Coturnix japonica: one gene and its partner. The protein of the gene in region 1 binds, or shares a complex with, the protein of each later gene. Links are inferred from orthologs where the notes say so. Each region holds a gene or a part of one and is shown in the gene's direction. Other genes may lie near its edges.

Region 1 (3,810 bases):
CTGCTGCTGTTGGGCTGCATCCAGGTCTACGTCCTCCAACTCTTCTTTCTCCCCTTCCTTTGTTCACTAGAAAGAAACCCAGGGGATGGTCTCAATAAAAGTCATTCCCAACCAGCAAAGCCGCCTCCCTGCTCTCCAGGTAAGTGCAGCTTCCAGACCCGTGGCTGTGGGGCTGGGTGGGACCAGAGCAAACCACGGGGGTTGGTGCTGGTCTGGTTGTCCTCTTCCCTTCACTGAGCTGTTGAAGGAGGAAGAGACCTGGCCTGTGCAAATGAGCAGATGTATAAACCAGATGTGTGTGTAGAAGCATGCGTCAGAGGTACATGTGTGCAGTGTTTGGTAATGCAAAAGCAGCTGTGTGTGTGCATCGGGAAGCACAAGAGCCTCCTGTTCCCTGTGAGCACTGCCATGACAGAGCTGTGCAGCCATTTCTCTTCTACAGGGTGATGGCAGAGCCCCTAGGTGCAGCACAGGGCACATGCCCACACCATCACTGATGCTTAGTGCCTCAGCTGCAGGGTGAATGATTTAGCTCTGTCTGCTGTCAGCACGTTGGTAGGAACCGTTAGCAGTGAGCAAGTGGGAGGAAGGAAGTGGTGGGGGAGAGGAAGAGAGCTTCTGCTGCCACTGCATGGGAAGGGCTGACACACTGTGGCAGGGGTGACATGTTCAGATGGGTGCACTTGGCTGGTTTTGTCTTTGGAGCTCTGCTTTGGCTGAAGTGCTCAGGATAGCAGGGAAGGCTGGGATGATGTCAGGTATACTGACCTGCTCCAGGTGCAGGAGCGGAGCCCAGCATGGCCCCTCCATTGAGGACAGACAATTTACAGCAAGTAAAAACTGCCTCTTAGCCCTTGCTGTCTTTGTTCCTGCTCAGCCAACCTTGCATGTGTTTGTGTATTAAGTGCTGGCCCTATCTACCCTCCCTGTTGGCCAGGCCAGCTCAGCACCTGGGGAGAACTTACCTCTGACCAAAAGAACATGGCTGCTGGCTCACCTGCACCTGCTCCGGGTTCAGAGAAGGACACGGGGACAAACCCTTGCCCAGCAACAACTGCTGTACTCCCTTTCATTGCATCCGGGCTCCCAGGAAGCACAGGTCATATTGTGCCTGTGTCTCTGCTTGTTGCAATCCCCTGCTGGGAGCAAAGTAACTCCTGGTTTTGTTTCTTCTCCTCTGTCCCCACGCGCATCTTAATTTCACAGTGTGACAGGTAGGATGGGGCAGATCCCAGCACCACGATGCCATGGGTAAACAGCTCCAGCTGGCCACACAGCTCGGCAGCTGGCAATTTGAGGCCAGCCACAGACCTCCTGGGGCAATTCTGTTTGGAAGGATCCTAATAAGAAGCACTGAGTGCTCCGGTCTCTTAGGGTCACTTCCAGCTGCAGGCTTTTGACTATAAACAGTAGCACTCCTTGTGCTGGATCCTGCTGGGTATTTCAACTTCCAGCCCCAGAAATGGGGTTGGCAGGCGTTTGGCAAATAGTCTGCACTGGGAGCTGACCCGGGGCAGTGTCTGAAGGTAACTCTTGTTGGTGGGGTCTTTCCAAATGAGGAGTGACCTGGCTATGTCTAGCCAGGGGCACCAGGGCTGAAGGAGAGGGCTCCAGGCAGGTGCCTGGGCAGTACTTGCTGCATGTCCCTCATGTGCTTGTGTTGACGACTATCTTCCTGGCACTGGAGAGCGCTTTCAGAACAAGCGTCAGTCTTGAGCAGGTGGCTGGATGGATCCTGGAAGGACATTCCATTTTTGTTGTTTTCCTTGAGAGGTCTCATGGCACAGTGTGATCCATGTGCTCTGCTTTTCTGGCAGCAAAAGAGAACCATGTTCGTGTCCTGTTGGCCCCGTGCGTCTGGCAGATCACAGCAGCATTGCTGGAGGAACGTACTGTGGGGAAATTGTTTTGATATGGTCTAAGGACAGCATGGTCTGTCCTACCTGGGGAGGACCTGAGCGCAGATGTGTGTGCTGTACCTTCCTCCCAGGGAGAGGTGGTACTGAAGAGCCAGGACAGTCTCAGGCAGGGATAGATGTGACACGGTGCTTTGGGCTAGCAGAAGGCCCTGTGCCATGCAGGGCTGCCCTGCTTGCTCCTGGCTGCTCACTGCAGAACCCAGGCCTGCCAAGGGGCTACACAGACAGAGATTGAGCACCAGCTGCAGGGCACGTGGTCCTGCAGAGAGGCAGCAGTTCTTTCACCAGCTCCTATTGCTGAGCTGGTGCTGGGAGATGCAGCATGGAGTCAGGAACTGGATATGGCCATACTGATCCCAGCCCTTTCTCTCTTTCAGATGTTCATGAGGGCACAATTTGACTATGACCCCAGGAAAGACAACCTCATCCCCTGCAAGGAAGCAGGGCTGAAGTTCCAGACAGGTGACGTGATTCAGATCATCAACAAGGATGACAGCAACTGGTGGCAGGGCCGTGTGGAAGGCTCCAGTACCGAGTCAGCAGGACTCATCCCTTCCCCTGAACTGCAGGAGTGGTAAGTCCCTTTGCAGGAAATCCCAGTCTGGGCATAAGATGCCACATGTCCATCTCATGGCTTTGGTGCACGGAGGTCCTGTGTCATGCATGGCAAGCATTAGGTGCGTTCTGACAGGATCTGAGCTGTCTCACCATGACTGCCATGACCCATCACAGCCCTGCATAAGGATGTGGTTGCTGGGTTTGGCTGGAAGTGCTGGATCTGGGGCTCAGTGACCATGCTGGGTAGTACCAGTGCCACTGCTGGGGAAGGAGGCACGCCTCACCTCATCTGCTCCAGGATGAGTCTTTGCTTGTCCCAGCAGTCACCCCACTGCATGTGTGAGGGATGATCCCTCTGCTCCCCAGGGCCCCCAAACACAGTGGGTGTTATTCTCTCTTGGCAGGCGTGTGGCGAGTGTCACCCAATCCAGTCAGAGCGAAGCCCAGAGCTGCAGCCCCTTTGGGAAGAAAAAGAAGTACAAAGATAAATACCTAGCCAAGCACAGCTCAAGTAAGTGCAAGCAGGGTGCTGGGCCCCCAAACCCTGCAGGCTGCCAAATGCGGGGCAGGAGCTGGCCCTGCACAGCCAGCAGCGTCGCTTTTGGGGCACGTGCTTGTCATCTGCTTGCTTAAACCCCGTGCTAAGCAGTGCTTGGCCTGCTCCAGGACAGCAAAGGCAGTGGCCTGAGGACGTGCTGGCTCCTAGCCCAACCTACAGCTCCGACCGATAGCAAACAAGGCCGTAAATCAGAGAGATAAATAAAGCTTCCCCAGCAACAAGCTCTCTGCAACTTCCCACTGCCTCCCCACCCGGCCCCAGGGTCCTACTGCCCTGAGCAGAAACAGAGTGAGAAAACATCTAACTCCTTTAGAGGCTGCTAGTCCAGCCTCTCAGCACCACACATATGCCATGTACTGGTTGCTGCTGGGGCTGGTGCTCTTTCCCAAGCCAGACAAGCAGAGGAAAACCCACAGCCCATCTTGACTGCTCCCTAGATTTTGCTGAAGGATCTGGCTTTGCTCCAGCATGCACAGTCCTATCCTGTAGCTGAGACAGCTCTAATTACTCTTATTTCTCCTTCACTGCAGTTTTTGACCAGCTGGATGTAGTTTCATACGAGGAGGTGGTGAGGCTGCCTGCCTTCAAGAGGAAGACACTGGTGCTCATAGGTAGGTCCTGCCCCTGTCCTGCACGTGGTAGGGGCTGTGGGGAACCAGGGCTGAGACAGCACTGCCCTTTGAAAGCTGGTAAGCACTGGGGAGCATTTCTTCTACCTGCAGCGATTGCCCGGAAGGGTGATATCTGCCACGTGGCACTGTGCATGTGGTCTGG
Region 2 (4,495 bases), on another chromosome or scaffold:
CAACATTTCTCACACTCCAGGACAGAAAGATGTAATTTTACCTGTGCAAATTGTGCTTCACATACAGAAGTAACAGGCCTTTCAATATTTCCATACTGAAGCTATCTGGTGTAAATCAGTTTTGTGAGTTGAAACCAGTGTCAGGAGTTTTTTGCCTCTTTGTTTTGTGCTTTGCTTTGTAGCATCCATCACTGAATGTTCCAGAGCTCTCTACAGTGAGCTTGGAAAGTGCTGACCCAAGTCGTTTATTGTATCTGTGCTCACAAACAAGCTGTTATTTGGCTTTGGCATGCAAATAAGTCACTGGTCTTTCCATCTTATAGCTGTAAAATAAATGCTATGAACCAAGTTCACAGCAATGATTTCTTGCAGGAGGTCACTGAGATGATTTCACAGAAATATCCTGCAACAATTTTACAAAACAGGATGAGTCTCAGCCTGAATTTCATGACTCTGTTTTTTTCCATTTCCATTCCAATGGGTACTGTGTTTTTGCTGTCACAGACAGGCAGTTAATTCATCCTGACTCACAGGGACTAGGAAAACAAAAACTTCACCCACTCTTCATACTGTCTAAGACAGATGTGTTATAAAGGACTTGTGTTTTGATAGGACCTAGAAGTCACAGCTCACGGTGTTCACTGTATATGGACACTTGCAGTAACTGGAGTATGCAGTAATGGTGAATGTGGATGCACCACAGCACAGAAATAGCTAATAGTAGCAATATAAACAAGGGAGCTGGTAGCCTAGTCCAGGCTGAAAAACTTGCTGCAAAGTAGGAGTAATGCAGACCAATGAACATATTCTATTTATAAAGAACACTTCCCTGTGGATTAAAATACAAATACCACGACTAGAAGGAAAAAAACATGTCATCTTTTTTCTGCAGATGACAAACTGAGGCAGAGATGAAGTGCTTTGCCCGAGATACCACAAGAATCTTGTGTTAGAGCCCAGGACTGGAGTTACCCATGTGTCAGCCTGTGTCTCAGCCACAGGTTATTTCTCACTCTGAATGCGCTTCAGATTCACGCTCTATGCAGATGCAATGTCTCTGACCCAGTAAATGCCATTCTCAGCTTTCACCCATTAAAAGGACAGGATCAGACTGTGAGTGTAAGGATGCTGCTGGGCAATAAAACTTGGAAGCTCTGATCTTGATCTCACCCAGCGATGACGGGCATTTTTGGAGGGGACTCACAGCGCAGTGAGTTTTGCACTTAAATAATGTCAGTAGGGGCTTGGGAGGTGAATCTAATAGGTGCGTCTGAATTTGGCTGAGAAAGTAAAGAGCATTTTCTTTCCACTGGTTGCTGGCTAGTAAAAGCAAAGGGATGGAATACATCCAACTTGCAAAACTTGAATACAGTTACTGCTATCTGCAAATGTGTGCCCCTCCCCGCTCATGTGAGCTACACAGGCAAAAGAGAATGACACATGTGCTGTTTCCTTTTCCAGTTGTAAAGGGGTCAGGAGCCAGGAAAGGAGAGCCTGAACAAGAGCTGCATTTTCCTGGGCTCTTCCAGCTGTTCTGCTCAATCCCGCCGTCGGTTCTGAGCAGGGAAGAGAGGCTGTCAACACAAATAAGGCATTTTTCAAAGGCGTAAATTATGAGTTACCAAAACAATACGACATCTCAACCACGTGAGTACCCTTATCCCCCCTCCTTGCAGTAAGAGTGGGTTTACCAGTCTGCCGCTTCAGGAAAGGATTGTCAAATGTGTTTCATGTGAAAGGGAAAACGAAAAGAAAAAGAATGTTTGAGACTCATCCTGAAGGAAAAAAGTTGCAATGAAACTGTTTTCCATTTTAATTCTTTGTGTGTGTGTGTACGTGCATGTGTGTGAAGAACTGAAACGGCTCTGCAGACTCCAACTCCTGAATAGGACCAAGCAAAGTCAGTAATGTTTCTGTCTAAACTGTGGTTTAAGAAAGTTTAAATGTTTTTCCCTCCCCACCCCACCTCCAGGAATGAAAATATAGAGCATTTCGAAAACTTCCTGATGCTTTTCTAAGCTATTAATGGTGCTGCCCAACTTCTGTTTAGAGTCCCAGGCTGTCTGCGTGTAACATGAGACGCAAAGCCACAAACGGACCATCTATATTTAAAGTCACAATGTATTTCTGCTCTGGAAATGTAGAAACGGGGGCTTAAGGACAAGCAAGTTCGCTTCTCAGAAAGGGAGGGTGCAAGAGGGCAAGTCCTCTGCTGGCATAACTCTGCATATTTTAGTGAACTTGGAAAGAGAATTTGGCCTGAACAGTCAAGTGAACACAGATGCTTAACGGCAGCATGCCTGCATTCCTTTTGGGTTAGCATAAAAAAAGAAAGCGGAAGAGAAGGGGATGGATTCTGGTCTGATAAACTGAGGAAAGTTTTCAGCGCTGCAACAGCAGGATGTGACCCTCTCCTTCATGATTTTGGTATAATCTTTCCTGTTTTAATTTGAGATAGTAATTTTGTAATATTTTTAATAAACAAATTGCCAATAGCAGAATTGTTTATCATTCTGTGGTATCAGTAATGAAGACAAAATGTACAGACAGGATTGCTGGGAGCTGCTGGAAATTTGGGCTGTGCTGTCAGAATATTTGGTCTATATGGAAGCTAATGGCAGCGGTGCTTCCTGAGCTTTCAATGGGACAGGCTGATCCAGCAGAAACAGCCCAGCGAGCAGTAGCTCTGGAATCCCAGGCAGCAATTTCTGTTTACCCTTTATTTCTTTTTTGCAAGTTCCAACAAACTCCAAAGATTAGATGATAGCTCTTATATGTTATTCTATATTACTCAGCAGTTTAGGCGATAATGACTTGTTTACTATTGTTTCTGTTAACGTTTGTTTTTCTGTAATAGACAGGAAAGAAACAGGCAGGCTAATTCAGGATCCTGAGTTTGGGTTTACAAAAGTGTGAATAAACTTCCACTGGTGCTCTTAATTACATGTGCAGGAGGGCAGCAGTGACTCAGTGAGGTTCATTTTGCTCCTTGTGCAGTATCACCAAGGGTCCAGACCAAAGTTTTCATGTCTAGTGACAGTCTTGGCCTGGTGACAAGCCAAGAACCAGTTCAAAACACCAAATAAGTGGTTTTCAATCCTGCTAGAATAAGAATTCAGCCTGATAAAAAAAGAAAAAAGAAAAAAGACTGTCTATTCTTTACTTGCCCTCATAATTTCTCATACTGATTCATACAGAATGTATCTTATTTCACATTGTGTCCCTCTGATTATTGTTTTTGGTGTTTTTTGTTTGTTTGTTTGTTTGTTTATCTGTTTATTTTTTAATTATATGGATCAAATGACAGAGAAAGAATAAAATTAAAGAGAAATCTGTAACATAATCTGGCACAGTAAAACCAGGGCGTTATTTGTATAGTGGATGAAGTTTTGGGGACCAGGGCTGGGGACAAAGGTCTTATTTGTTAGTAAAATTCCAGTAATATTTGTAAGTTATAAGACATCAAAAAGCTGATGTACTACCAGGGGCAGCACAGTATGGACAGCAGATGTGTTACAGAAAGGCAGCATATTTGGGAAAACGCATTTGCTTCAGAAGTATAATGAAAATCTTTTAAATGGGTGTAAAAACATATAAAGAATCACCAAAACCCTTTGACTAGACTCAATATATTAATTATTACTGACTATATTAATTATTCCTGGGTACTTGCAGGTGAGACCTTAGAGCAGCTGCCTACCGATTTAAATTAAGCAGGGTTAAGTTACCTAATTGCTTGTATTCTTTGCTTATCTCCTTGTGTTCACTTGCAGCTGATCAGGGATTTTTATTAATTCTATAAGAGCAGTACAATCCTATCAATCCATGTGGGAGCAGATTGCTGTTTCAGATTTAAACTGTTCACTTCTGCAAAGTCAGCAAATGTATTCTGCTTCTCAATGGGGGTACCATACCTTATAATGTCAGGGAGCCATGCTTAGCTCCAACATCCCATCACTCTCGGTGGGGTCTCTGTATACTCAATGGAGAGCTGAGTGAGCCAGTAGTTCAGTCTGCTGATACTAGGCAGTGTGTAAAATATTTACTCCATCATTCTTCTGTAACAGACATTTGCATGTGGCTAGAATCCAGGAATACCGAAGGAAAGAAGTCTTCTAACAAAGCCAAAAATGGAGCTGGGACCTCAAATTCATTGGCTTGGATTCAATATTGTGCTGTGAATGTATCTCCATTTTCTTTCTTCTTTTTCATGTCATTATTGTTGTTATTTTTATTAAGAAGACCTAACTTCACTAAAGAGATGCGAACTTCCCAACTTTCAAATACATAATTTCTAAGTATATCACCTTCTAGTGACATATTTGCTTCTTCCAAACACTGCTCAGATGCACAGGAAGTAAGTGCCTGACTTATTACAAAATTGGAAGAATTCCACAAGTTTGGCAATCTCTAACTGCAGCTTTTGCCCTCTTCCTGTTGGACTGCAGTGACTCCAGTTCTGAGGCAACGAGCAACTCACATGAAGTGCAGCACT

What was found.
Region 2: the proteins of MPP1 (region 1) and GYPC are in contact, whole or in part, in an NMR structure (PDB 2EJY), measured with the Homo sapiens proteins. The link is inferred for Coturnix japonica from reciprocal best matches to the Homo sapiens genes MPP1 and GYPC. Residues at the interface, in NP_002427.1 of Homo sapiens: Pro81, Met82, Gly83, Ile84, Leu86, Lys87, Leu88, Leu100, Val130, Gln134; in NP_002092.1 of Homo sapiens: Arg123, Lys124, Glu125, Tyr126, Ile128.

Annotation. Positions count from the first base shown.
Region 1 is NC_029519.1:2,081,024-2,084,833, reverse strand, and holds part of MPP1 (55 kDa erythrocyte membrane protein), read left to right. Parts: intron 1-70; coding exon 71-139; intron 140-2,296; coding exon 2,297-2,493; intron 2,494-2,881; coding exon 2,882-2,988; intron 2,989-3,566; coding exon 3,567-3,647; intron 3,648-3,810. UniProt on the Homo sapiens protein: Essential regulator of neutrophil polarity. Regulates neutrophil polarization by regulating AKT1 phosphorylation through a mechanism that is independent of PIK3CG activity.
Region 2 is NC_029522.1:22,778,170-22,782,664, forward strand, and holds the start of GYPC (glycophorin-C), read left to right. Parts: upstream 1-1,411; 5' UTR 1,412-1,613; coding exon 1,614-1,647; intron 1,648-4,495. UniProt on the Homo sapiens protein: This protein is a minor sialoglycoprotein in human erythrocyte membranes. The blood group Gerbich antigens and receptors for Plasmodium falciparum merozoites are most likely located within the extracellular domain.